Drosophila melanogaster: one gene and its partners. The protein of the gene in region 2 interacts with the protein of the main gene of each other region in a pairwise test. Each region holds a gene or a part of one and is shown on either strand. Other genes may lie near its edges.

What was found.
Region 1: the proteins of p53 (region 2) and MEP-1 interact in a two-hybrid assay, tested with the Drosophila melanogaster proteins (2 studies listed by BioGRID).
Region 3: the proteins of p53 (region 2) and Taf3 interact in a two-hybrid assay, tested with the Drosophila melanogaster proteins (2 studies listed by BioGRID).
Region 4: the proteins of p53 (region 2) and CG6923 interact in a two-hybrid assay, tested with the Drosophila melanogaster proteins (2 studies listed by BioGRID).

Annotation. Positions count from the first base shown.
Region 1 is NT_037436.4:2,629,911-2,634,741, forward strand, and holds the start of MEP-1 (MEP-1), read left to right. Parts: upstream 1-1,804; 5' UTR 1,805-1,901; coding exon of another isoform or gene 1,902-2,006; exon of another isoform or gene 2,007-2,066; coding exon of another isoform or gene 2,067-2,211; intron 2,212-2,364; exon of another isoform or gene 2,365-2,556; intron 2,557-3,627; coding exon of another isoform or gene 3,628-3,833; 5' UTR 3,834-3,899; intron 3,900-4,831. Other genes in the region: CG42245 (uncharacterized protein), read left to right, coding at 1,902-2,006, 2,067-2,211, 3,628-3,833.
Region 2 is NT_033777.3:23,049,151-23,056,106, reverse strand, and holds p53 (p53), read left to right. Parts: upstream 1-2,024; 5' UTR 2,025-2,098; coding exon 2,099-2,142; exon of another isoform or gene 2,143-2,201; coding exon 2,202-2,525; exon of another isoform or gene 2,526-2,712; coding exon of another isoform or gene 2,713-2,750; exon of another isoform or gene 2,751-2,907; coding exon 2,908-2,988; exon of another isoform or gene 2,989-3,058; coding exon 3,059-3,095; exon of another isoform or gene 3,096-3,158; coding exon 3,159-3,185; exon of another isoform or gene 3,186-3,191; intron 3,192-3,203; coding exon of another isoform or gene 3,204-4,418; intron 4,419-4,876; exon of another isoform or gene 4,877-4,887; coding exon of another isoform or gene 4,888-4,917; intron 4,918-4,982; coding exon 4,983-5,292; intron 5,293-5,356; coding exon 5,357-5,603; intron 5,604-5,665; coding exon 5,666-6,060; intron 6,061-6,119; coding exon 6,120-6,142; 3' UTR 6,143-6,450; downstream 6,451-6,956. Other genes in the region: Ctns (cystinosin), read left to right, coding at 1-65, 136-318, 384-744, 931-1,219, 1,276-1,378, 1,479-1,584; Gr94a (gustatory receptor 94a), read right to left, coding at 3,204-4,418.
Region 3 is NC_004353.4:460,801-468,527, forward strand, and holds the start of Taf3 (TBP-associated factor 3), read right to left. Parts: upstream 6,029-7,727; 5' UTR 5,870-6,028; coding exon 5,701-5,869; intron 4,516-5,700; coding exon 3,997-4,515; intron 3,941-3,996; coding exon 2,255-3,940; intron 1,702-2,254; coding exon 1,588-1,701; intron 1,529-1,587; coding exon 705-1,528; intron 614-704; exon of another isoform or gene 248-613; coding exon 1-247. Other genes in the region: CG33941 (uncharacterized protein), read left to right, coding at 7,051-7,194.
Region 4 is NT_033777.3:11,744,013-11,751,822, reverse strand, and holds CG6923 (uncharacterized protein), read left to right. Parts: upstream 1-1,793; 5' UTR 1,794-2,125; intron 2,126-2,334; exon of another isoform or gene 2,335-2,581; intron 2,582-2,797; exon of another isoform or gene 2,798-2,863; 5' UTR 2,864-2,933; coding exon 2,934-3,033; intron 3,034-3,088; coding exon 3,089-6,465; intron 6,466-6,529; coding exon 6,530-6,654; intron 6,655-6,715; coding exon 6,716-6,884; coding exon of another isoform or gene 6,885-6,911; 3' UTR 6,912-7,340; downstream 7,341-7,810. Other genes in the region: CG43062 (uncharacterized protein), read right to left, coding at 924-1,448.

The DNA of each region.
Region 1 (4,831 bases), on a different chromosome or scaffold from region 2:
TACCGAATTACTAGCGATTCGAGCGATAGTTTTCTCTCAGTGCCTCCGCGAAATGTTTAATTTTAGAACGATATTCCGCTATTAAACGAGTCCGGGCAATTTTCGACCGAGTGAACTGAACTGAACTGCACGCGCCAAATGCCGACTAGCATCTGAGCGCCGAGGAGCAGAGACTGTAAAGCGGAATTTGAACCGAATCGCCGAGTTGCACTTCGGCAGAGGCGGAGGACTCCGTGCCGGATGCAGACTGTGATAACATTTTCCTGAGGCTCTGCGTTCTCAAGAGTGCTCGATATTAGTTGGCCGGCATGTGACTTGAAGCCTATGGATTCTGAATGGGACGGTCGGATGGATGACTCTATATCCAGCATATAGCATCGTATCCGTATCAAGGCCGAAACACTTGTGTTGCACCGGCATTTTCAATGTATTTTCAATGCGGACGCAAAGCGAGCAAAACAAAACACAACAAGCATACGCCACGTTGCACTTGCACAGCATCAAATGCCCTGCCATCCTCATTTTTAATGCATGAGGGGGTGCTCCCTCCACCCGGCCACACTCCATTTGTTTTTCCAACCATCGCTGTGGATTGCGTAGCGATTGGGGGCTGCAGCTCCGAAACTGTTCGCTTAAGCGGTCGGTGATAAGACGCGAAATCAAATTTAAAAGCTATCAATTTGATATTAGTTCGGGGACCGACGAAAATCCTTCGGGGGAAAAGCTGCTGCCGCGTGCCAGAATGCAGAAATCGGAGTTTTTCATGGGGAATTCGTTCACGGAAAAACAAAAGGAATATATTTGAAATATAAATTTATGTTTTATTGTCATATTTTTCACTGGATATGACACTAATTTAATTCTTCTCTATCTGTCAGTCTACAGATATTTGTTTGGGTTTATGCAAAAAAAAAACCAAAAAAAAAAAACTTTTGTTTAGCTCCTCTCACGTATTTTATTTATAACTAAACTAAATATATGAAACGCTGTTTTCTCAGTGCATCCTATTTGTGTTTTTGCCAACATATGCTGCAGCTCATAAAATTTCTCCGCTTTGCTGCAGTTTTCATTTGCCTTTTTTTTTCGGCAGCTCTTTTTTGGTTAGCTGTCGAAGTTTTGAAATCAATTTGCAGATGATTTATTATGTTCCCAGGAACGAATAGGGGGCTTCAATCGAGGAGGAGTCTGTGCATACGACATTGCAAATGGAAGCCACTGACGTTGATGAATGCCGCTGTGTATTGTTTTGCTGTCAGAAGCGATCAAATTTCTGTTTTGGAGCACGGAATTCCAGGTGAAGCGGAAAATTTGCAAGTTATGCGACAGTTTTATGCGCCCATTTTTTGATTGGCAGCGAGGATTCGCAAATTGATGGCACGTCTCGGGGCAATCGGTTTTCTCAGCGGAAATGCCAGTTGGAAATGGGAACTTAAGATACTTAAAGAAATGCATCAAAAATAATAGGATAAATATTATATATTTATAGAAATTTTTAAGAAATATTAACTCTTTATCAACAGTAAGCATTTTCAAAAAGTAACCGCTTTTGCCTAACAGTGCTGCCCATCTACAATTGGTTTTCAGGCAGCACTATGCACACGGCAGTACAGCTGTTACTTATCGGTGCTATCGATAAATATCAAGGACTCAAAAATTGGGACTAATAATATTAAAAGAGCAAGCTTAAACTTTAACATTATAACTATTAAAACTGGATTTACAATTGTCTTACGTTACTTTAAAGTATAGCAGTTGAAATCGATTTAGTATTGTCAACGCGCGCTTTCCCACACTGCTCGATAAGCATATGTTTTTCTTATCGACATTTGTGGTAAATAAAAAGTGCAAAAACCGCTGCTAAATCGGTCAAGAAGTGCAATGATATAGCCGCCATATCTGATATGTCCAAGCGCAACATAACGTACGTAAAGCCGCAAGAACCTAGTTTTCTGGCCAAGTTGAAGGCTGAAATTGGCTACAAGGAGGGACCCACCGTAGAGACCAAGGTGAGTTCTACGGGGAAGGCCTCTGCAGCATTCTAATGCGGATATATAACCATTGGTTAGCGTCAGCGATTGGATCCGCAGGACCAGGAGGACTACGATTCTGAGGAAGATTCACGGGAGGACGAACAGCCGCAGGTGGTCGTCCTTAGGCCGGGAGATCTATCCGCCGAAGAGGCCAAAACGGAGAAACTGTTGGCCTCCAAAGGTCGGTACATATGTACAAGCATACATACATACATATCGCTGTAGTACATACATACTTACACGCTCGCACACGCACACACACATGCATATAGCCCACGGTGGCGGCGGCGGCAGTTGCACGTGTGTGCGTAGGTAGGATGTTGTAGTTTGTCTTTCAGTTTAACTTTTCAGTCAGAATCGAGCGGTTGTCTTCTTCTGCCCGGCGTTACATATATCTAAATCATATATGTATATATACATAACTGCGTATATACCGTTGCTTATGTATGAGTGCGCGCGTGTGCTTGTGCATTTTTGCCAAATGAAAATCTAACGGTAGTGCGAAAACAGCAGTTTGTTGCAAGAAGTATGTGTTTTTTTTTTCGAAAAGCACCTTCGGTTTTTCAATCTTTTTAAAGCCCTATGTTGCCATGGCAATCTTGGTCATTTCCGTCCTAAAGATTCCCTTTTTTGCCCAGCGGAGCACCCCTCACACAGACACACACACCCGCAGCAGCTAGCCGACGAGGCATACACACTGACATTTTCATTGGGGGCTCCGCCAAAGCAGAGCATGTGATGAAAATCGTTGGCAAAGCGGGCGCGGCGATAAAGCAGCCGGCAAAGAAGTTAACAACAGCAGCTGCCGCCGCTCGCTTTGTCCGCCTCTTCCGCTCGCCCCCCTGCCCCTTTCAGCCCCACTTGGAAGAGCGCAGAAAATCGGGTGAAAACAACGTGTGCAAGAACGAACGGATGAAGGAGGCGGGCAAAGCGGAGAGACAATGATGAACGAAGCAGGCGAGCAAAGAGGAAAAGAGCGGGCCAAAGTGGCTTGACGACGTGGTGGCGGTGGCAAAGGCGCTGCGGGGAGGGGGTAGGCGTTGAAGAAGGGGCTGGCGGAACAGCGGGGGCGGGTTGCGAATCAGTGGGTGGAGCGGGAGGGGGAGTGAAGCGGGAGCGTCGGGCGAGAAGGGGCTTCCCAGGGCCGAGAAAAACATCTTGTGGGTGCTGCTTGGAAAAGGGGGGGGTCGGTGGGTGGCTTGTTCTGATTTACACCTCCCTCCTCCCCATTTGTCATGCTGCAGTTTTTAAAACCCAGATACATTTTCCAATCCAATAATGAATTGCTGGCATATTAGTCACCTTCCTGGCAATTTTATAAGCAGATCAATTTTCAAAAACTTTCTTGTATTCCTTTTAGTTAATGCAATTTTTAAATTTATTTTATTTATATCAGCTTTGATATATGTATTGGCATTTTTCTCCCTAAATTTGTGCATACTACTTTCCCCAAAATATTTTTCATTCTAAGATAGTTTATATAACTTAAATACTCCATTTAACTTGTAAATAGGTGTTTACTTACACGCTTTACTACGATCATAATAAGTACAGATGATTGCTGACCCATAACTAACTCCCATTTTCAATCTTCCAGAATTAGCCGAAAAGCGAGCGGATCTGACGCAGCCAATAGTCTTCAAACACTGTGTCAAGCAGCCCAACATCGAGAAAAAAGAGTCCCAATCTGAAACCAACAAGAAGTCCGAAAAATCCAGCACATCCAAGAGCAAGAAGTCCAAGGCCGCCAGTAGTAAGCTGTCCTTCAACGAGGACGAGGAGGACGAGACTGCCGAGGATTGAAGATCACACCTTAGTTATCTGGCTATAAGTTGAACCAACCAAGTTAACCTGCAGCGAATGATTAAGGTGAGAAATTCAGGTCAAAAACAGCAAATGATTGTTAACTATGCTTTGTATTTCTTTGTTGCCATGTGAATTTATGAGTTTAATAATGGGGTTTCCATATGTATGTGTTAAAATCCAACTCGCAATGACGCTGTCATCATAGATTGTAGATTTTTCACCAAAGAACTAAACTGTATACTCAAGTTGATATGATATAGTATATATTTGAGTTTTTGCATTAAACATATGCATGTATTGCTGATTTATTGTTATTTAGAAATGAATCATTGAGATTAGATCATGGTTTTGACACGTCGATCGTAAAAATAATTATAGAATTCTTTAAAGATCCCTTAGATTCCTACAACATGATTTTTTCCTAAAGCTTTTCCAAATTTATGTTTTTTAAATAAGTGTTACACGTTTTAAGTAAATTATTAGCATACTAATTATATTTATTATTATCACGTAATGTACTTTACGTGAATCATACTACTTGGAAAAATATTAGTGACTCAAAACCGAATATTTGTGGTGAAATTTTATGTTATTTTCTTCTTTTTTTTAATGTATCTAATGTTACATTTTTCCATTTCAATTGTGAGTTCTTAGTTGGGTTTGATATTCAATCCCAATACAGATTGATCTTAAATCTTGATCAAAGTCCGAAATCTGCTAGAGAAAGTCCTCGGACAACAGGATTATCTAAACTCTGATACCTAATATCTTATAATTTAATCACTTGATTAGAAGAAATGTGGTAAAGTCCTTTTTGATACATGCGATCAATCTCTTAAATTAGTATCTTGTATCTTTACTTTCGATTCAATTGACTTCACCTCTAAGATATTAAGACCCAACTGCCACAGTAATTTCCGCTTAACTTTGTAAATTTGCACTGGAAAATATGAATTGGCTAATTTACTCGATATCGAAAAGGGTCACGTGTATGT
Region 2 (6,956 bases):
ACCGTCGATTCCCATGACATCACCGTTCTGCTGAACAGCAACGAGACTTTTCTGGTGTTCGCCAAGTGAGTTGCCATTGCCGGGAAATCCAAATCCAAAACATATGGCATCGTAAATCTATTGTGCCCATTACAGCGGATTGCTAGACAGCGACGTGGAAGTTGCGCTGGGAACAGATTCGGAGGATCATTTGCTCCTCGATCCCGCAACGTTTGTGTATCCAGCGGGCAGTACTCGAAATCAGTCGGTGGTGATAACTGGCCTCAAAGCCGGCAACGTCAAAGTGGTCGCAGATAGCGATGATGCGAACAAAGAGATGTGAGTAACTTCACGGGAATCCCAACTGTTCCCGTACCTAATTGGAAAATTCACTTATTTTCCAGTGTGAAGGATGTGTTCGTACGCGTGACTGTGGCCAAATCGAGAGCTTTGATCTACACCTCCATCATCTTTGGCTGGGTTTACTTTGTGGCCTGGTCGGTGTCCTTCTATCCGCAGATCTGGAGCAACTATCGCCGCAAGTCCGTCGAGGGACTGAACTTTGATTTCCTGGCCCTCAATATCGTGGGCTTCACCCTGTACAGCATGTTCAACTGCGGCCTCTATTTCATCGAGGATCTGCAGAACGAGTACGAGGTGCGATATCCGCTGGGAGTGAATCCTGTGATGCTCAACGACGTGGTCTTCTCACTGCATGCCATGTTCGCCACCTGCATTACGATCCTTCAGTGCTTTTTCTATCAGGTAATAATATATATAGCAAATACCATTCAATAGCCTTATCGCCGAAGTGGCAACAGTTGTCGCATTGAACACTAATTGCCATCAATCAAAATGCCAAATCATTTGAATCACAGCGGATAGTTACGATATGAAGAGTAGATAAGGTTTTGACTTGTAAAACATCCATACTTTGTTAAATTTGTCCAGAGAGCACAGCAAAGGGTGTCGTTCATTGCCTACGGAATATTGGCCATCTTCGCCGTGGTGGTCGTCGTGTCTGCCGGTTTGGCCGGAGGATCCGTCATCCATTGGCTGGACTTTCTGTACTACTGCAGTTACGTCAAGCTAACCATTACCATCATCAAGTACGTGCCGCAAGCTCTGATGAACTATCGCCGGAAGAGCACCTCCGGCTGGAGCATCGGCAACATTCTGCTGGATTTCACGGGAGGAACGCTGAGCATGCTGCAAATGATTCTGAATGCTCATAATTACGGTAGGATATAGTCTATCAATTTGTGATTTTCGAATGAAATCGTGTCTGGTTTCCAGATGATTGGGTGTCGATTTTCGGTGATCCCACCAAATTCGGACTGGGTCTGTTTTCCGTGCTCTTCGATGTGTTCTTCATGCTGCAGCACTATGTGTTTTACAGGTGATTGAAACATTGTGTGAATATGATACTTAATCTACGATTATGTCATCTCCACTGTACACTTATCATTATTGCTGTGCTGTTTTCCATTTCTCCCCAGGCATTCGAGGGAATCCTCGAGCTCTGACCTCACCACCGTGACCGATGTTCAAAATCGAACAAATGAGTCGCCGCCGCCGAGCGAAGTGACGACTGAGAAATATTAGAGCTGCATTATCATATGTCTGCTGTAGAGAAAGACTTTTGTGCCAGTAGCGCTTTATGTACATTTTTAGAATTGTAAATATATCCGTATGCCGTAGCTGCCTAAGCTTTGTATAATTCGTGCGTTTTAATTGAAATTTAGTTTGACTAAAATTTGGAATTTCACCATTAAATAAAACTTAATTTTTTGTAGGAGCCAGAAATCATACGGTACATTGCTCGACCATTCAAAGGGCTGTGCAGTGAAACCAATTTGCTGCATACGGCGCGTTATTTGCAAACTAATAAATAGATTGAAGTATTGAAAAAATTTCAAAACAGAAATTCTAACTTGCCGCACAATGGGCAGCACTGTTCGCACTCGGCCAAATCCTTATCGATAGCTTATCGATAGCCATGGATATATGACATTAAGTTAGCCAATTTCCGGTTAGTTGACATCCCTGGAGCACGGAAGATTCTTGCGGACACAAATCGCAACTGCTAAATAAAATTTATTTATTTGAGTGCACAGCCATGAGTCTTCACAAGTCCGCGTCGTTTAGCTTGACTTTTAACCAGTGAGCGGAGATATTTTATTCGGTCTTACCCAACAAAATAATGTTGCGCCTTTTTGCAGAAACACTTCGATTGTTTCGCGTAGCAATAGTCGCACAATTTTTGAAGCTTTCAAGGAGTTCCTGGATTTTTGGGATATCGGCAACGAAGTTTCTGCAGAGTCAGCAGTTCGGGTCTCCAGCAACGGAGCTTTCAACTTGCCGCAGAGTTTTGGCAACGAATCCAACGAATATGCCCACCTGGCTACGCCTGTGGATCCAGCCTACGGAGGCAACAACACGAACAACATGATGCAGTTCACGAACAATCTGGAAATTTTGGCCAACAATAATTCCGATGGCAATAACAAAATTAATGCATGCAACAAATTCGTCTGCCACAAGGGGTGAGCAAATTCAAAACACGCGCTCCAATCGATAAACATTGGCTACGGCGATTGTTCGCGCTGCGTGGCGAATGGCAAAATCCAAATAGTCGGTGGCCACTACGATTCTGTAGTTTTTTGTTAGCGAATTTTTAATATTTAGCCTCCTTCCCCAACAAGATCGCTTGATCAGATATAGCCGACTAAGATGTATATATCACAGCCAATGTCGTGGCACAAAGAAAGGTACAGTGCGGCAACAAATTGATGATCGAACAGTAGAAACCTTGCATGTAGCAACACGCTTGTACTTGCATCATTCGCGCGGCCAACTTGTTTGTGTTTGTTTATCCAGCCAAGGCGCAGTTTGCCACTAAGTTTTTATTTCCCTTTTACACTTTAGCACTGATTCCGAGGATGACTCCACGGAGGTCGATATCAAGGAGGATATTCCGAAAACGGTGGAGGTATCGGGATCGGAATTGTGAGTACCTGGTCACGTGGTCACATGTGGTTTGCCTGGTTGCTAACTATTATTGTTTTTATTATTCCAGGACCACGGAACCCATGGCCTTCTTGCAGGGATTAAACGTGAGTTGTGCTTTTAATGTGCAAAGCTATAGCTTACTAACTATTTAATATTATTCCCCGCAGTCCGGGAATCTGATGCAGTTCAGCCAGGTGGGTAACATCGATTAGCTATTGCATCTTGAAGCGCTGGGACAGATCGGCCTGCACGAGGATCAGCAGGAAGCTGGCCACCGCCGAGAAGACATTGCTGATCAGTCGCATGTCCAGCTCGTACAAGCCCAAGGGTTTAATTTGGTACTTGGTCACCGTGACCAGCAGAGTAAAGCCGTGGACTGCCTGACGGTAGCGGCTGTCCGCATGCTGGAGATTCATCTCCTGGAGAATGACTGCCGATCTTCGGGTGGCCACCAATAGGTGGTTGCACAAATGCGTGAGCAATGTGATCTCCGCCAGCGAGATGGAGAGGAAAACCAGATTGATCAGCGATCCAAGACCATCGTACGGCTTGCCCATGATTAAGGTGTCCGCTATGGCATAGTACAGACTGTAGAAACCCACCGTTATTCCGAGCAGGTGGCATATGAGCGACAGAATCATGGACAAGGACATTGGGGTCAGATACTTTCCCGAATGCACATATATCAACCTATAGCGATACGCCAGCTGGTCGAGTTCATCCGCCAAGGCGCAAAATCGCTGCATGCGGTAGTATTTAGTGTACAACTTTAGCTGGTCCTTCCTCTGCAGCAGATTCACCTCCTGCAGCTGCGCTTCCAGCCGTCTGTTCAGAGCGTACAGAATCTCCTTCACCACCACCATTGCGCCAAAGTAGCAGTTATTGAGAAAATTCGAAATAATTAAGGGAAACAGCCGGTACAAGGTCCAGATCAAGCTCATCTCGGGATGCTGCCGCCTCTGTTGCAGTATGAAAGCCACTTCAATTGTTAGAGGAAAAGCCACGGTCTTGACCAGAGCCAAAACGATGGATATGTACAGCGACCTGCTGTCCAGACGGAATTCTTTTAGGGTATCAAAGAAGGGCACTTTGCTCAACACCTTGGCCACATGGTCACTGATTATCATTTGCGACACATAGTTAATAACAGCCACCGTAATGTTCATATAGCTGTACAGAGTGGTGGCGTCCTTCAGGTTGATCTGACCCTCCTGGTACTCCTTGTAGATTTGCCGCCCGTAAACCAAGCTGAATGCAATTGCCCACAGCGAAGCAAAGGCCAGATTTGCCTTTGAGAAGCGGAATCTTTCACGACGGCCCGCCCGATATCGATTGGCCAGGAGTCCGAAGACGGTCATAAAGCCTATCAGTATGATCGTCAGAAATTTCACCATACGCCGATGCGCGTAGTCGCTGGTGAAGTCCATTTCTCTCGAACAATTAATACAAACTGTGAGCGCACTTTCCACAGCATTAATATCTGCTTAATTGTTTTCCAACTACCCAACTGATGCCATCTAGAGGACCTGTCAAGTAGCCGGACACTATCGGGACACATCGCGAAACGCATGTATTTCACCGGCCGTCCAGAAACCAACTGAGCATGCGTTGTGCTACTACTAGCCACAAACAAAAGAGCATAAGAAGCGTGAGGGAAGCGGCATTCCTTGCGTGACTCAGCCGCTGCCTGCAATTTCATAAGAGCGACATGACGTCAAAGTCGCTTCGAAGTTCACTTTCAGTTGGAGGACAGAACAAAACACTCTTATCTAGCCGATTAGCACGGTGCACTCCTTCCCGTCGTCATCGTTTAGCGAGAATTTCAAGCACTTGTGAAAAATAGAATAGAATACAAAACAAATCGCCAGTCCATTTGTAACTCGAGCAAGCTGGAACATGAAGCTCTATCAGCTCTATGAGCGCAAAGTGTGAACCCTTATATGATTGCGAGTTAAGTTGACATTCAAATAATATCTTGTTTTTGCTTACAGCAATCCGTGCTGCGCGAAATGATGCTGCAGGACATTCAGATCCAGGCGAACACGCTGCCCAAGCTAGAGAATCACAACATCGGTGGTTATTGCTTCAGCATGGTTCTGGATGAGCCGCCCAAGTCTCTTTGGATGTACTCGATTCCGCTGAACAAGCTCTACATCCGGATGAACAAGGCCTTCAACGTGGACGTTCAGTTCAAGTCTAAAATGCCCATCCAACCACTTAATTTGCGTGTGTTCCTTTGCTTCTCCAATGATGTGAGTGCTCCCGTGGTCCGCTGTCAAAATCACCTTAGCGTTGAGCCTTGTAAGTGAAGATAACAATACAGATCGAACAGGATTATTTAACTATCATTTGTACAAACCTTTAGTGACGGCCAATAACGCAAAAATGCGCGAGAGCTTGCTGCGCAGCGAGAATCCCAACAGTGTATATTGTGGAAATGCTCAGGGCAAGGGAATTTCCGAGCGTTTTTCCGTTGTAGTCCCCCTGAACATGAGCCGGTCTGTAACCCGCAGTGGGCTCACGCGCCAGACCCTGGCCTTCAAGTTCGTCTGCCAAAACTCGTGTATCGGGCGAAAAGAAACTTCCTTAGTCTTCTGCCTGGAGAAAGCATGGTAAGGTGACAGCAAAACTCTAGATGGCTAGAACAAAGCTTAACGTGTTTTCTTTCTTGCAGCGGCGATATCGTGGGACAGCATGTTATACATGTTAAAATATGTACGTGCCCCAAGCGGGATCGCATCCAAGACGAACGCCAGCTCAATAGCAAGAAGCGCAAGTCCGTGCCGGAAGCCGCCGAAGAAGATGAGCCGTCCAAGGTGCGTCGGTGCATTGCTATAAAGACGGAGGACACGGAGAGCAATGATAGCCGAGACTGCGACGACTCCGCCGCAGAGTGGAACGTGTCGCGGACACCGGATGGCGATTACCGTCTGGCTATTACGTGCCCCAATAAGGAATGGCTGCTGCAGAGCATCGAGGGCATGATTAAGGAGGCGGCGGCTGAAGTCCTGCGCAATCCCAACCAAGAGAATCTACGTCGCCATGCCAACAAATTGCTGAGCCTTAAGAGTAAGCAGTGAATCGGAGGACAAAGAGATTAAGCTTTACTTACCGAACTTTCCTTTCAGAACGTGCCTACGAGCTGCCATGACTTCTGATCTGGTCGACAATCTCCCAGGTATCAGATACCTTTGAAATGTGTTGCATCTGTGGGGTATACTACATAGCTATTAGTATCTTAAGTTTGTATTAGTCCTTGTTCGTAAGGCGTTTAACGGTGATATTCCCCTTTTGGCATGTTCGATGGCCGAAAAGAAAACATTTTTATATTTTTGATAGTATACTGTTGTTAACTGCAGTTCTATGTGACTACGTAACTTTTGTCTACCACAACAAACATACTCTGTACAAAAAAGCCAAAAGTGAATTTATTAAAGAGTTGTCATATTTTGCAAACATATCCTCGTGGTGTACGCCAATGCCCAGAGCCTACTGTACCCCCACCGTGGAGCACATGCTATGTGACATGTGTGGCTTGTGTGCGGTCAATGCACTCAGGATGCAACTCAGCTAGCTAGCTGCTAATATGTCAAAATTGCTGCGTCGCATTTACATACTTTATTTATACCCGTATCTGCACGTCTTTGGTTTTAGTTCTATGCTTTCAAAAAAAAAAAAACAACCTCAAGCAGGGCGCATGCGTTGCGCCAGCGTTGCACATGTGCGAGGATGCAAAAAAGTGCAACAAACACCAGATGTTGACACTGTGCCGCTGCAGCTGCAGGCGACTTTAGCTTTTGCCACATGCGGCAGCTAAATGTTTACTCTAGCCCACCGATCGCTGTTCATTGACCTAGGGCAGGGGCATTAAGTGCGCCCTAATCGTAACGGAATGATAGCCTCTGTGTCCAAAAATTCAGCCAAAGCGGATGCACTCACTTCCATTTGGGGCCTGTCCTTCTTCG
Region 3 (7,727 bases), on a different chromosome or scaffold from region 2:
AAGACAAAATCGTGGTTTGCTTTAGTTTCCCTGCATCTGTCATCTCCTTTTCTGAAGACGAAAATAATGTAGATTTTCCACTAAGTTTTAGTGTTAGTTTTGGTATTTGATTTGGAGATATTCCACTTGTGGCGGCACCTAACGATGGATTTATTGTCATGGAACTTGATTTCAATACAGGTTCATCGTTGTTAGCTAAAGGCACCTTGTCAAATTCTTCTGTGTCATCTGGTATATGGACTAAAATCTAAAATAAGAATTGATTAAACTATAAATTTAACTTTAAAAGATTTTGCTGAGATATGTGTATAGACTAAAATAAAATTTGTAAGAACTAAAAATATAACTTTAAAAGATTTGGCTGCTTTACATGTTTATGTAGGATTAAGATGTTTTTGTACCTATACCAAGCTGTAGGCTTCGATGTTATAATTAGTCACAACAGTCTATATAAGTATTAATACAAATTTGGAACATAATGTATAATGTATAATGCATAATGCATAATTTAATGTTATTATACGGAATATGTTCACAGAATTCATGATTTTAAAAATGTTTCCCACATAACTTGCTGTTTTCAAATGAGTTTGTGTACGTACTTATCGCAAAGGTTGCTTATCAGCTCCGGCGTATCTACATATCTGATCCAAATACCACAACACGAACACCTATTTTTTTATAAATAAAGAATTGACACAAACCTGCTTATCTTTATCCTTTTTCTTTTCTTTTTTTTGCCTTTTATCATTGGCCTTTATTTTCCGGTCGGATTTGAAAGATGGTAAGCCAATCTGATCCGCTTTCTTTGATTTGTCCTTTTTCTCTTTCTTTTTTTTATTTTTCCCTTCTTTAACCTTTTTTAGCTTTTTGTGATGTTTCCGCATTTTCGGTTCCAACGACGTTAATCCAGTTGGTGTTATTGTAATATCTTCGTAGTTAGAAAAGGTAGAAAAAATATTGTGCTCTTCTGAAATTTTGATTTGATTCGGTATGGTTCCACCTAAGCTACTGAATGGTACTATTTTGGAGGAATATTCCGAATCACTCACTCTCGACAGAGGAATAAGATCTGCTCCCCCAGCTAAACTGAATTTGTCACCTCCCATAAAATTAGGCAAGTTAAATTGTGGAAATGATGAATGTGAAGCTGGCGTGTGGGGTACGCTTTTTACATCGGGAAAACTCTGTTTAACAAGTTTTTTAAATTTTTTAAGTGGTTCGTTAGAGCTTAGAGACACAATATTCCTTAGATCCATTTTGGATTTTTCTTCACCATTAGATGCAGCTGACGTAAACGAGGAGGGATTTAGTTCTGCGAAGCTGGTTTTAACATAAGTTGGTGATGATATTGGGGTTTTTCTTTGAACCATCTGCCTGTTGTGCATTGATTCATCTGAATCATCTGAAACCTCTATTGGATCATCAGGATTTCCAGAAGCCTCCAAAAGCGGTTTCGTGTTTATTTTGCTTGTAGCCTGTGCAGATGGGTTTTCCAATATTGTGCTGGCACAAGATACGCTTTTACCTACAGATATAAGTAATAAGTTATTTTTAAATTACAAATATATTTACCGTTAAACTTACACTCGGCGAATTTCATTGAGTCAGGTACTAATGGAGCAACATTGCAGTAGTTTCGATCCATTTGCAAGTCAGTTTGCGTGGAAGATCGGCTCAGAAATTGATCAGAATCAGTAACTAAAAATTATTTTTTCTAATCATTATAAATATTTAAATATTTTGGTCGACAAATAATTCACATATTGTAGGTAGGTACGTATTGTCAATATAAAAAAAAAATTTGAGCTCCTCCAAATATCTAGTTTATGACAAACGCAAATATTTCATACTAACCCATCTAGAAGCTTCCCAATACCACTTCTTGAGTGTGTACCTATACCTATTTTCTACATTCAACGGTTCAATGATTAGTTTCAGATTAGTATTTTTGCTGTAATGAATTAAGATATTGCCGAGACTTTTATGTAAGCAATATATTCTTCGAGCTGTGATACTCGAACTGGTATGGTAAAGTAAAGTTTGGGTCAACAAACTTCAGCTGGGTTTATGTCTCTAGAATCTTTATGCTTAATCTCAACCTACTAGCTTTTTATAGTTCATGAGATCTCGACGTTCATACGGACGGACAGGACAGGATCAGATCCACTCGGCTATTGATCCTGGTCACGAAAATATATACTACGTATATATACTACGAGCAATGCGTATAAAAATAACTCATTTGACGTACCAGGAGAATCCTTAATTGGTGGACATCGAACAGTATCCGCAACTGATTCTTCTGGTCCAGGATAATCTATGAACGGCGAAATAGGTATTCTGTTACCGTGATTCCCGAAGCCAACTAAACCAGTGACTGCAGGAAAAAGCCCAGGTCCAGTAGGAATAAGACCAGGTCGTGGTGGAAATTGCAATAAAGGAAGCAACGGAACCATTCCTGTTTGAATTCCAGGGTAAATTGATGCATTTGACAAAGCATTGGATATAGTCACAAATTTATCTGAACATTGTACATCATTATTTTGTTTTGTGGGTCGAATAGAATTATGTAGTGTTGATGCCTTTTCAGGAGAACAGCTCTTGTCTAATTGCATTACATTTTCTGGTAATGATTTGTACTTTTTTCTGTCCTTTTTTTCTTTTGCATACAGGTTTGACAAAAAATTATTCGAGGGCTGTTCGGTATTACACAAGTTGAGAGGTTCTGTTGGCGGGGAGACGTTTAAAGAACTTTGGGTTATTATCATTGGAGATGATGATAGAGGCAGTGTAATAGCTTGGCTTGACTTTTTCCGTTCGACCTTATTAATTAAAGGTTGCGATACAACATTTGTTTGTTTTATTACATTTTTTCCTCCAGGTTTGCGACCTCGCTTTTTTGGCTTTGGCGAATCAATAATTGACATTTCAACGCCTGCTTTAGTTAAAGGTATAGTTCCATCGAATATATTGCAAGGGTTGATTTTCATACTCGGAACGTTTTTGTTTTCAGAATTTAGACCAAGTGAAGGTGTAGGAGTTATAGTAGTCCCCGATGGAAGACTAATTAATGCTGAAGGGGTCATTGTGCTTCCAAATACAGATACCCCGGTTCCAGGAGGTACTAAAGTCGCCCCAATATCTGGACGTGGAGTACGTGGCTTAGAAATTTTCTTAAAAATGTCCAATTTACTTCGTTCTGGTTCTGATCCACTTTTTTTTTCTGCCAATAGCACTTGCGTTTGTTGAATTACAGATGGCTGCACTGGATAAATTGAATTTCGAAAATTATTTTCAATCTGGCTTGTTACTGTTGGCGGCTGACTAGGGATATCAGCTTGTAAAGCATTTTCATTTGAGTTAGCTTTTATGGCAAGGCCGCTCGTAGTTTGAGAATTCTGCAAAAAGTGTTTTTCGTCGATGTCCAGTTGAAGATCATTTTGCTTAAGTTTGGACTGCTTCTTAAATATTTTTTCTAAATGTTTTTTATTTGGATCGAAGGATCCGCGGTTAAATTTTTTTTTTAACTTTTTCATGTTTTGTATTTGATTAATTGAGCTGTCTCTTTGGTTCTTTGAGGTTTGTTTATACATTTTTAAAGCTTTTCTCTGTGACTTTTCCTGAGCTTTTTCAAACGGATTAGTTAGAAGTTCGCTTTGACCGGGTTCGCATATTAAATCATGTTTCTGTTTTCTATTCTTCTTAGGTGTTGTAACAGTTAGCATCGTATGGTTGTTAGACGCATATATTATTGAAGACTCTGAATGTCCACTTGTCAATAATGCAGCATTTTGTTTGAAGATTTTAGTTTCTGAGGGAATGATTTTTCGTGGATTTACTGTTTTGTCTCTGTCAGAAAGCGCCAGTTGTGGAGATTTTTGTAACGAATTTACAATTATCGTCGGTGAAAAGGGTGCATCCAAACCTAAAAATTTTTCTATAAACACCGATACATGAAAATTTATTAAGCTGTGGTATAAGGATAGGTCGTACCAACTATATCCGGTATGATATCTTCGGGGAGCTTGCCTTCAATAGCTGGACTTATGAATCCCCCTGTTGTCATTACCACGCTGCTCATTTCGCGGACTGAGCTCCCAACGTCCAATTCAAAGGCATTCGACCGGAAATTTATCACAGTATTAGGAGAGATAGAATCAATGTGCTTGGCGCCTAACTTATCAGCTGCGTTTGTTGAACTATACTCTGCTTTTGAACAAAACTCTTGCTTTTCCGAAAATTCCTTTTGAACATCGGCTGGAATTTCACGAAGTTCGGGGTCCTGCATTGGTGGCAAGTATTCAAATATGTAGACAGGTCGCGTTAGAGTTTCAGCGCTTCCAGGCTTAAGGAAGTTCATGTTTACAGATTTTCCAATGGGAAACTGTGGTACATCCCGGATGAATCCAACAGGCTCGACATTACCTATGTAGTCCAATAGTTCTTGAACATTGATGCTGAGATTTTTTATACTTAAGCGTGCATCCTTAAGGTTCGGCTCTATCCGATTTGCTAAATTAGTAATATATATACTTGTCAATTAATATTTTTATAAATTTTATCCAAATAAACAAAGCATTTTTGATTTTTTGTTTGGTTTTAATAAGATTTTTTTGAACTCATATAAATAACGTTATTAAGTAACATACCAAGCAAAATTAAAAAGAAAATATAAGAGAACGCTTTAGTCGAGTTCCTCAACTATTTATTTTTATTTCTGTTCCGGTGGTTACAAGGAAGATATATCTTAATCTAAGATATATCTTAATCTAAAATATATCTTAATCTAAGATATATCTTAATCTAAGATATATATAAATCAAAGATTTATTGTTTTTTTTTTTTTGGTGTTTACAAGACAATTAATGAAATAATAATTTGCAAAAAATACAATCTACATGCCTATTGAGGTTTCATAATCCCCAATCGAGACCCCGGCAGTCCCACAATTCATCGCTCCTTAAAAACATCCCAAGATCATCGGTTTCGCCCACAGTACCAACTGCTTTGGCTGCACAGCCACAAGCAGGGAATCAGCAATAAATTATGGATCTTTTATTTCCAGCCGAATGCTAAGCTGACGCTCTAAGTCGCCGAGCACATAAGTTTCGTAAGAAACTTTAAATTTTTAATGCGCATCGGAACTAGAGAAATTATATACTGATGTAGGTGAAAGGGACTGGGCGAGGAAAAGGGAAATAACAATAAAAGAAAGAAATAAATTAAAAGATTACTTTTCTAAGAGGCACGCTTCCTTTTTCGCGGATAACTGGGACTAGATTTATGCGAGTAGCAGGCGCGAGCTTAATCAGGAAATTCCAATGGCAATGGATTCATTTTACACGCAACAACACGTACTACTCGCAGAAGCGATGTACATTTTTCGTAATACATTTCTGTACACATTATACTAATATATTTTACTTTAAGGTTAAACGGACAGGTTGACCGGTATTCTAACGCAACTGAAAGCAAAATGCCCTAACTCCAAACAAAATTGTTTTAATGATAAATAATGATTTATTAATGATAGTCTGATGGAACTGCAGGGATGATAAGTTATACATTTATGTACATGTACATATATGTCACATACTTTTTATTGAATCTCTTATTCTACAAGTAACGACTATAACTACTCAGGCTTTGTTGTATTTCATGATCGGTTCCGTTGATTTGAGGGTCTATACCACTTACCGTGTTCCATATGTCTATGCATGTCTCGAGCGAACTCCTGTACAAACTTCTGCAATATGTCTTGCAACAACTCCAAGGGTGCACTTAGAGTGCAGCTGTAACCAATAGTTTGCGTTATCTGCGCAACGACAACAAGGGCCAAATCTGAAGCGTATCTGTCTGCCATCATGTTCTTTCATGAGGTACACCTTCTTTAGAAAACCTTGGAAATGCTGTGAATAGGTTTAACCGTCCCACGAACTTCCTCTTGTTATTAAAATTAATTGACTTGGTGTCTACACCTTTATTAGACGAACTACAATCTGTGGATGTTTAGTTAACGATAACTTATCGATTTTGCCTTTGATGGGAAATATATCGATATTTGGGGTATGCCAAAAGTGGTAATCATGGGGTTCAATCAAATTCAATTGATTGACCAACATAAACAAACTGCAATTTTTTATGTGGTTTGAAAGTGGTTATAAGGGCAGATAAAAGGTTTGCTTTCGGTATGTTCGCTGTTAGTGTTCGAATAAGACACAAATTTTGAAAATAAGACGAAAAAGTTTTCTAATCCTTCTATTCTTTAAAATAGATATTGAACGATGGAAATATAATTAGAGCTTGTTTAATAATAGAGCGCTTGAATGCAGAGTGAAACGAGAGTCTTGTGTTGTTACCCGTAAAAATGTTTTAGTTTTACTACTACTATTACTATTATTACTACGATTACTTACTACAAATTTTAACAGCATCTAATGTTATGTTTATTGTGGAAAGAAAGTAATGCCCAGAACAGCTATGAAATTACCGAATAAATAATAATATAATTATAAATATAAATAATATATATAAATATAAATTTAATAAAATAACATTAAGCCTAAAATCGCTTCAAAAATATCATGTGAACTATATCCCAAACATGTGTATATATGCAGGTAATTTAGTGGAAAGAGGGTATAATGTATAATGACACAAAACTACTGATAGAATACTAGTTATATTTTCGATCAGTTTAGAAGAAACTTATATCTTAAGACATTTATTGGGTTAGGTATTGTTTCCCATATATGTTCTAGTCGAGTATTCACACAAAGAAGCGTGCGACAGATCTTCGGCACTTAATATTTTGTATTTGTAATAATGTAAAATATAAAAATTAACAAATAAAACAACTATATGAACATTTGCATGTGTTGGGTATATGTGTAAGTCTAATAAAAAGTTTTATTCTACTTAAAGCTCAAATCCTTTAAACTTTTCAGCTAGTTATTGAAATACTCAGTATAAATGAGTAAGAAGATCTCCATCAACATTGATCTGACCAACGTTTTACTCCTTTTTTAATCTAATAAGAACTAAAAAATGCAACCATTGAACTCGAGCATTGATAAAGCAAAACATTTTTTCATAGAGAGCGGGATCTTAGGACCCGTTAACTTTAAATATTCTCATGACATGATTCGGAAGACGTCTACCATTCACATTGACGAAACTCTTAAGAATCAGGTAAGGGTGGATAATCTGATTCCCAACGAATACACGTTTACACCTATGTTAACCATAATAGGTGTATAGGTATCGTATTTCCTTACATATACTGAAGATTTCATATGCAGTCGGTCAGTTATCGAGTAACTGGTTAGTCCGTCTGACTATCAATCTGAACGCTGTGATCTCGGGAACAATGAAAACTAGAATATTGATATTAAGCATTAAGACTCAGTCACAGAGTCTGTAAGAGTTTGTTTCATGCCGTTGCGACGCTTGCTCCAACGACGACGCACCCTCAATATTCATACGGTCACAAAAAATCAATCAACCACTAGCAAAAACACGAATACACTTCAGTGCGCAGATTTCTCATTTTGCGCATAATGTACGAGCTCAAAGAAGCTGGAGTCGAAAAAATGGAATTTTTGAAATTTAAAAGCTGGAATCGTTTGCTCATTTGTTGTCTTTATTTGCCCACGTTTGGCCACTCTTTTCAATTTTGAAAAAGTGAATACTTTAGAAAATATGAGACGTTCTAGTTAACCTCG
Region 4 (7,810 bases), about 11 Mb from region 2:
TAAATGCACCTGAAGAAATCTATCTATCAAATGACGCTGTGCCATCAACAACCACTTCAATCTACTGATAAGAGGAGTATCATTTTCCACAGACCTTATTTGTTTACGTCCCACGAAATCAATGTCAAGTGCATGCTGCATACACACCAATTCTTCTATTTTTCCAACCAACAGCAACTTGTGCGAAAAACTTCCAAAAAACAAAAACAAAATAAACGAAAAATTAAACTGACCACAAAAAATAAAGTTAAATGCAGACATATGAAATCATAAATGATTGTTCATAATTTTAGCTCAAAACGCTGCTGCCAAAAAAAGTTGCCAACGGCCTCGTTTTGGGTTTGGTTAAAGTTTTGAACATTTGCTAATAATAATAACAGCGTCCAAATAATTTATACTATTCATGCAATGAATTCCTACAGAAGCAATCAAAGTTGCACTGAAACTGAAGTATTGAAGTGGAAACTATCGCTTTCGTTTGTTTGTAAAACTGTGAGGAGTGTTTCGCAACGAAACAAAAAAAAAACAAATAATAACTATGAGTTGAATTTACAAGCAGCGCTGCTTAAAATCCGATAAAACTACACTCAAACAAACAGCACCTTGGTTTAGAAAATGTCCGTTAAGCCAATGGTTAAACTTAAGTCGTTACACTGGTCAGCGCAGCTTTCGAGAAATGAACACCAACGAGAATATGGGGAAATCCTGCAGATAATTGATTAGCTGACCGATTTAATCAAGGAATATTTGTATGAAGCGAATTGGTTTTAAAATTATGGCTAAACAGAATTGGAAACGAAAGCCAAGAGAAAAGAATACGAAGCCAGCAATAAAAGAAAGAGTAGATATTGTTTTATACATATAAAAACTCAATAAAAACACTAAATACATGATATGTTAAGGCTTGTGCTGTGCATATGGATTTATTTCAGGCAGCAGAGAAGTATAACCAGTCCCAGCAGGCAGATAACCCAGTTCAAGCACCGCGTATTGTCTCCAATGGATACCATGTGGTAGGTTGGTGCCTTCGTTTCCGGGAAGTGTAGAACCATCAACTCGGGATTCGTGCTGTTCCTTTGCGTGGAATTTTGCTTAGCCAAGCATTCTTTAAGCAGTCTCTCCAAGAAATGGATCCTTTTGTACACGCACTCGAAGCCCGTGTGGTAATCGTAGACTGATGTCCCATTTCGAATGAATTTGCCCCATTTATCCACTAGAAACCAATCGAGATTGTTTAGCCGGCTTCTCCCAATTGTAATGAAGAAAACTCGAGAATCGTTTTCCACATGGAAAAAGGCGTACTTGTGGTTTTCGTCCTGATTGTGGTAATGGGGAAGAGTATAATACGTTGAAAGTGTCTTTTTCTTTGACCTTCTTTCGTGTATGCCCCGGCACAAAAACACGAATGTCTTATTCTTGATTGGCCAGCATTGTGGGCTTATTCCCATGTTTACATGAAAAGAAAATGAAGGAAACTATGTTTGTGATAGCAAAACTAGAAAATGTAATACAGTTTAATTAAGATTAACATTAAAAACCAGATAATTATGATTCGCAACTTTCCAACTAAGAGTTTCTTTGTATGTATATATTAAGCTTCCCTAAACAGTGGTAAGTAGTGGTAGTATAGTTTCTAACGGTATATTTAGTGCCAAAATATTTGAATTATCAGTGTGGCCATACTGCGCAACTTTAGTCTACGAAAGAGCTAGCTAGCTTCTATGCGATAGTATCGCCATCATCGCCGAACTGCAAGTTTTTGCACCGTCGAAGAAAAAGTTGTCTAAATATTTCAGTTCGGTGTTGTTACTGCTATAAAATCCAGTAACACATACAAAATGATTAAATCGTGAGAACATATATATCGCAAATTTGCATGTGCATAATGTAAATTTGTTCCGGACAGCAGCTGCGAATGAGAATAGTCCCCCGCCCCCGCGAAAAGAATTGCATTTAAACTCCCTTGTGTTCCCCAATAGCAGCTGTTGGCCTGCCAACCCCCACCACCCACTCTCTTTGTTTTGCCCAATCGGAAATCCCCACCCGGTTATTCGCGTAATCCCGGCTTTAGGAATTAAGAAAATTACCAAAATCGCAATATTTCTGTGTTACACATATAATAGAGGTAAGAATTATTTTGGGGACATTTGTTATCATTGAACAGCTGTTCATAGTTTGCCCACAGCCGAACAGCTGATTTGGCGTTTTCCCCAAATTGAAGTCAATAGTATCGAAACATTCAATATACTTAAAGCTGAATGTTATTCGTAAATTTTAATTTAAGTTAATACAAAATAAACGCATCAGCTTAATATCAGCTTAGACATATCGATATGCTGACATATCGATACAACGCTCATCCCTATTGCGTTGGCTAAAATAAAGAACTGCTGAACTTAATTAGTAATAAGTTGTCATAAGTTATTTAGAGCTTCCGTGGAAACCCCCATCATCCCAGTGCATGGAATCCGATAAAAAGTTTTCACTTTTCACTGCGGCGCTTGTGTTTTCCCCACGTAGCTTTGGAATTTCCTGCTAACGGCGATGAAAAACTTGACGGAAAAGTGGTGCTGACAAAAGAGTGTGTATTTGACAAGCAAAGAAAAAATTTCCGTCTTCAAACTTTATTTTGAGCTTTAAATCGTTTTTACTCGCTCGAGAACTGTGCAAATAATAGCCCCGAATTTCCATTTGGAGTACCTAGAGTACATAGCTGGCAATAGCTTTGGAACCCAAATACTTAACCCACTGCTTGTTTTTGTTTCTGTTTCCGGACAAAAAAAGCAAACTGGTCTCTGTTAGACAGTTGTACCTCCTCATACCCGTAAATTAAACATTTTTTCGTACATATACACAATTTTAGCGCATTTTGGCCTGCATGCGCTGCAACGCACCTTTGCCGTTCTGGTAACGTTGCCCACTAGACGACTGAAATGGATAGCTTGGAGAACGACCAGGAGGAGCTGCACCACCAGCCGAGGGTCACCTTGGCGTACGGCAGTGTGGCCACCAGTTCGGGTGGACAGGAAAACCGTAAGCTGGCCATCATCTGGAACCAGATAGTGCTAATCCTCTTGTGCTTTTGCAGATTCCCAGTATGCGATGTACTATAATCAGCAGAGGGATTCGGAGGGCTACATGCTAATGACGCCCTTCCTGTCCAGTTCGCAGAGCCACAGCCACACCCGTTCGCCGCCCACGTACACCGCCATGGTGGAGCCACGTCGCGAAGAGAGTTCTGGATTTGAGGGCTTGGCCAGGCGGTGTGACAAGTGCAGTTCGCTGGACGGACTCTGCCGCTGCGAATCGATGGTGGCCAGTAGCAGTCGCTATGCGGACTCCACACAGAACCAGTCGCATTCGGAGGCTCAGTTCTTGGAGCAGCCCTCATCCTCCACAGCGGCGATCGCCAATCCGCCCGCTGTTCATTCCATTCCACGACCCAAGCGAAAGAAGACTGAACCCCTGACAATGGAGCCAGAGAGTGACAATGACGGCGACGCGGTGGTTGCGTCCGTCAGCGGCACATGGCCTGCCGGTGCTATAGAAGAGCATGCTATGGACTCTACGGCGGTCGTTTACGAGGTCCCCTCTAGTTCGCTGCAGCTCAGCAACAGCTCCTTCGAAACCGCCCCAAGTGCCGTAAATGCTTACGATGATGTGACATCGAGTGCCTCGGACACGGAGCACGGCCAGTTTGCTCATACGCGTACCACCAACACCACGACGACTACGTCTGCCGTTCAGGCTCACAAGAAGAAGGCCAGCCGCTCCAATAATGCCTCCAACACCTCTTCCAGAGCAGTAGATACGGATGCCACGCCAAGCACGAGTGCCCAATCGAGAAAGCGACAGATGAGTCAATTTTCTTATCGCAAATCAAGGGTTTTGGAGCCGGAAAACGAGAGCAGCGATGATGGCTGGGATTTGCGTGTGCATAATCCCGTTCCACCAATTGAGCCCACAGTAACGATTATCCGTGGTAGCAGGGGGTCCGACGAGGCCGAGATAGGTCATACGGATCACAACTACTATAATAGTCGGTGCGCTGTGGCGGGAGCTCCACCGGATAGTACCTACATTAGGTCAGCCTCCTGCTCCACGGCCACCCATACTACACGTAGCGTGGATTATGGATCTCGCATTGGTCGAAGGTCGGCTGCAACAGGATCACCGTCCACAAGCTCGGATCAAGAACAGGAGCAGCAACAGCGCCAACAACAGGAGGAGATTATTCACGAAGAACGGCGTCATCAGCAGTCACCAGGCCAACCCATGCACAGTATGTACGGTGTTCCCGGCGAGTCTAGAATGTCATGGAGTCGTGCGCGGCCCTCTGACGACTCAGTGCCGCCTAGGAAACATGCGCGCATGGAACTGCCCGGAAGATCGCGTTCCAAACTGTCCTCAACGAATTTTAATTCGTTCTATCCTGGAAGGAGAGGACACCGAACCTTTGCGGAGCAAGGGAACAGTTCTGGGCAACATCATGTGCGGTTTCCACCATCCTCGACGCCGAATTCGAACGGGCCCTGTGTGATTACGTACGTCGGCCGGCCAAGAGATAGTCAGCCCGCCGCGGATCTCAATCTTCCGTCCACATCCACGGGAAGACGTGGCAGCCATGAGACCCGCGCCGATTCCGTAGTCTTGACGGCACCAGACTTGCAGCTGGATGATTGGTCATCGGACGATGATGATGATGACGTAGTATTTGTGCACTCCACTCGTGAGCCCATACTCTCAATCGATTTGACATCCGACGACGATGGCTTGGCCAATGATACGCAACTGCAGAGGGATAGGGATAGGGGCCGTGAAAGAGAACGGGAGCGAGCAAGGGATCGGGAACCATATCGTAATGACACTCAACCCAACCCGGAGGATCCAAATGAGGATAGGAGGACCATGTATGACTGTGCTTACACATTCCCCTATGCTCGCAGGACAGATCGTCGTACAGAAGCGAATAATGAGGGCACCTCTGCATTCGCATTTTATAGTGGCGCTCTAGCTGATCGGGCTGCCATTTCGGACCACAATTACAGCTACGAGCTAGACCAGCTGATGGATCCCGGCCCCGGTAATTTTTACCCGCCCCGCTGCTCCAACATGGATCCACAGCGCTACTTCCTTCCGATAAACGAATCCTCGATGTGGATGCCAGGCCATCCCGCTCCCCCGCCACCTCCGCCCCCGATGCCCCCAATTTTGCTGCCTGACAACTCTTCCACTGAGGCATACTTACGTCATCAGCAAAGAAATCTTACATCCACTCCAAGCAGCTCGTCCAGCGAGCAGACATCAACGCAGCAATCCCGCCACAGGCGAAGTAGCCCGGCGAACGTGTATCATCGTTACCATCCGTACTATTATGCGATAACAACGCTGCCAACTGTGGTGGAGTCGGACTACCCGCCGAGTCTCCAGCCTCACCCTCACCCTCATCCTCATTTTCAGCCCAGTCAAGGCGGAAGCAGTCGCAGTTCTTTGAGTGGAGCTTTGAATGCGGCTGCAGTGGCAGCCACAGCGGCGGCGGTACAGGCACAAACTTTTAGTGATTTGCTATCACAGGCCCATAATGAGGGACGTGCTGCGGCCCTGGAAGGCAACCGGACACCTCCACATACAATGGTGCATGCGCAACACCAGCAGCGGCAATCCATTAATCCGCCAGCGCCAGGAGTGGCATCAAATGCAAACCTGGCGGCAGCTGTTTCTCCACCACCGCCGCTTGAAATGTATTCCGGACGGAGCACCATTCCGCACTGCGGATCTCCGCCGTTCAGTGTTCGACGCTCCGAAGCTGCGTATAGCAATAGACAGCACTATCAGCCGCAGCCGCATCAAGGTCACCAGGCACCGCAGAACCAGATGCACGCCCACATTCATCCCCCTCACCGGGCCAGCGCCATAGTGGCCACCTCGCTGACGCCGGCTCCACCGTATCCGGTCCATCAAAATCTGTGGTACCGCCAGCAAAGCATGCAGGAGATGCACCGTCGCCACATGACGCCCACACCTATCGATCTTTCTTCGAATGCTCCGCTATTAACGAGCACGCTGCGAAACGGGTACCTGCATAGCATCTGCAGTTGTGTTCATGCTCGGAACGGTCCCGTATCAAGCCTGGATCCCGCTTACTATCCGCCGTACGACGCTGCACCGGCAGCTGCTGCTCCTCCACCATCTCCTCAACAACAGTCGCCTGCTACATCCGGTTCTGGCAATAGTAGCGTGGCAGCACAAGCGAGTATGCGACATCTGCAGCTTCAGCCCCAACAGCAGCCGCAGGCTCAGCAATCGCCACCAGTAATGCAGCATATGCAGCGCCAGCGGGCCATACACCACCACATGTTCCATCACCACTACTCACCACTGCATCTGGAGATTGGGCTGGCCCCCCTATCTCTGGGCTCCCGTATCCTTATCGCACCATCACGTCCAAACCGGGGAGCTACTTTGGTAAGGCCGTATAGAAATCAAAGTCATACCTATTTATATTAATTAGTTTTTACGTTTATTTCAGGAAACTATTGAGCGGAATACCTTGCCTCACAAATATCGACGCGTCCGAAGACCCAGTGAGACCGATGAGGATGCCGAGAAGTGCGCCATTTGCTTAAACCTCTTTGAGATAGAGAACGAAGTTCGGTAAGTTCAATGTGGACGTTACCTTATAAAGTTCTCTAATTATATTAAATAACAATTGCAGCCGCCTGCCGTGCATGCATCTATTTCACACGGATTGCGTGGATCAGTGGCTAGTCACCAACAAGCACTGCCCCATTTGTCGCGTCGACATCGAAACACACATGCCCAACGACGCTCTTCCCCCCAGCTCCAGCGGAGTCCCAGATGCCGCCAATTCCGCCGCATTATGACATTGTGTGCACGGCATCTTTATGTAAATCCCTCAGACTGAGTTTGTTCTCGGCATGCATCGATACAAGAACAAAGAATGAAATATTCGTAAAAACCCCTATATACATACCTTAAAATGTTTAACCCACCGCAACGTATGTAAAAGGCAGTTGCCACAGCTTGCTGCCGTGTTGCGCTGAAAGATATCAAAAAGCTAAATTTGTTTGGCTCAATTTCTATGTCTAAGTATATTAAGTGATTCGGCAAATAATTTCCTATACATATGTACAAATTGTCTACGTTTTGTGAAACAAAATTCTTGTGATAAGAATTTCATAAATATGCGTATATTGTTATAGTATAGAATTCCCACGACGGGCGTATATGATAACTTTGACCCCAGCTTGTTGTTATATTTTTAATGATCACACAAAATAATATAACATCGGACCCTAAACTTAACCGATTAGAAATCGATTTGGCAATTTGCATTTTTCTTGAGTAATTATTTGAAGGACTTAAAATCTGGACGATTTCCTCTCATTATTTAACAAATTTTGTTATGTTTTGATTAGTCACAAAAATGTAGAGAATAATCTTTTATTCTATTACCAAAGACCCTAGAATAATTCTATTCTATTCTAGTGTCTTTGCTATTACCAAATTATATATAGTACATCTATTTAATTTAATAGATTACGGATTATTGCTCAATATCTCATAACGTGCCATATATAAGTGAATTGATTCGATGCAATTTTTTAAATCTTGAGCTAACATATTTTAAAAAGGTTGGTTTTATATTATAGAAAGTTTCCTAAAACTTTTAAAAATTGGCTGTCTAAGACGGCAGAAATCAATAAATAATCCAATAAACGTCTGTTGATTTTTATTCCACCGATAAAAATACGATACACCTTTATTTCTGTTTGGGGTTTACATATTT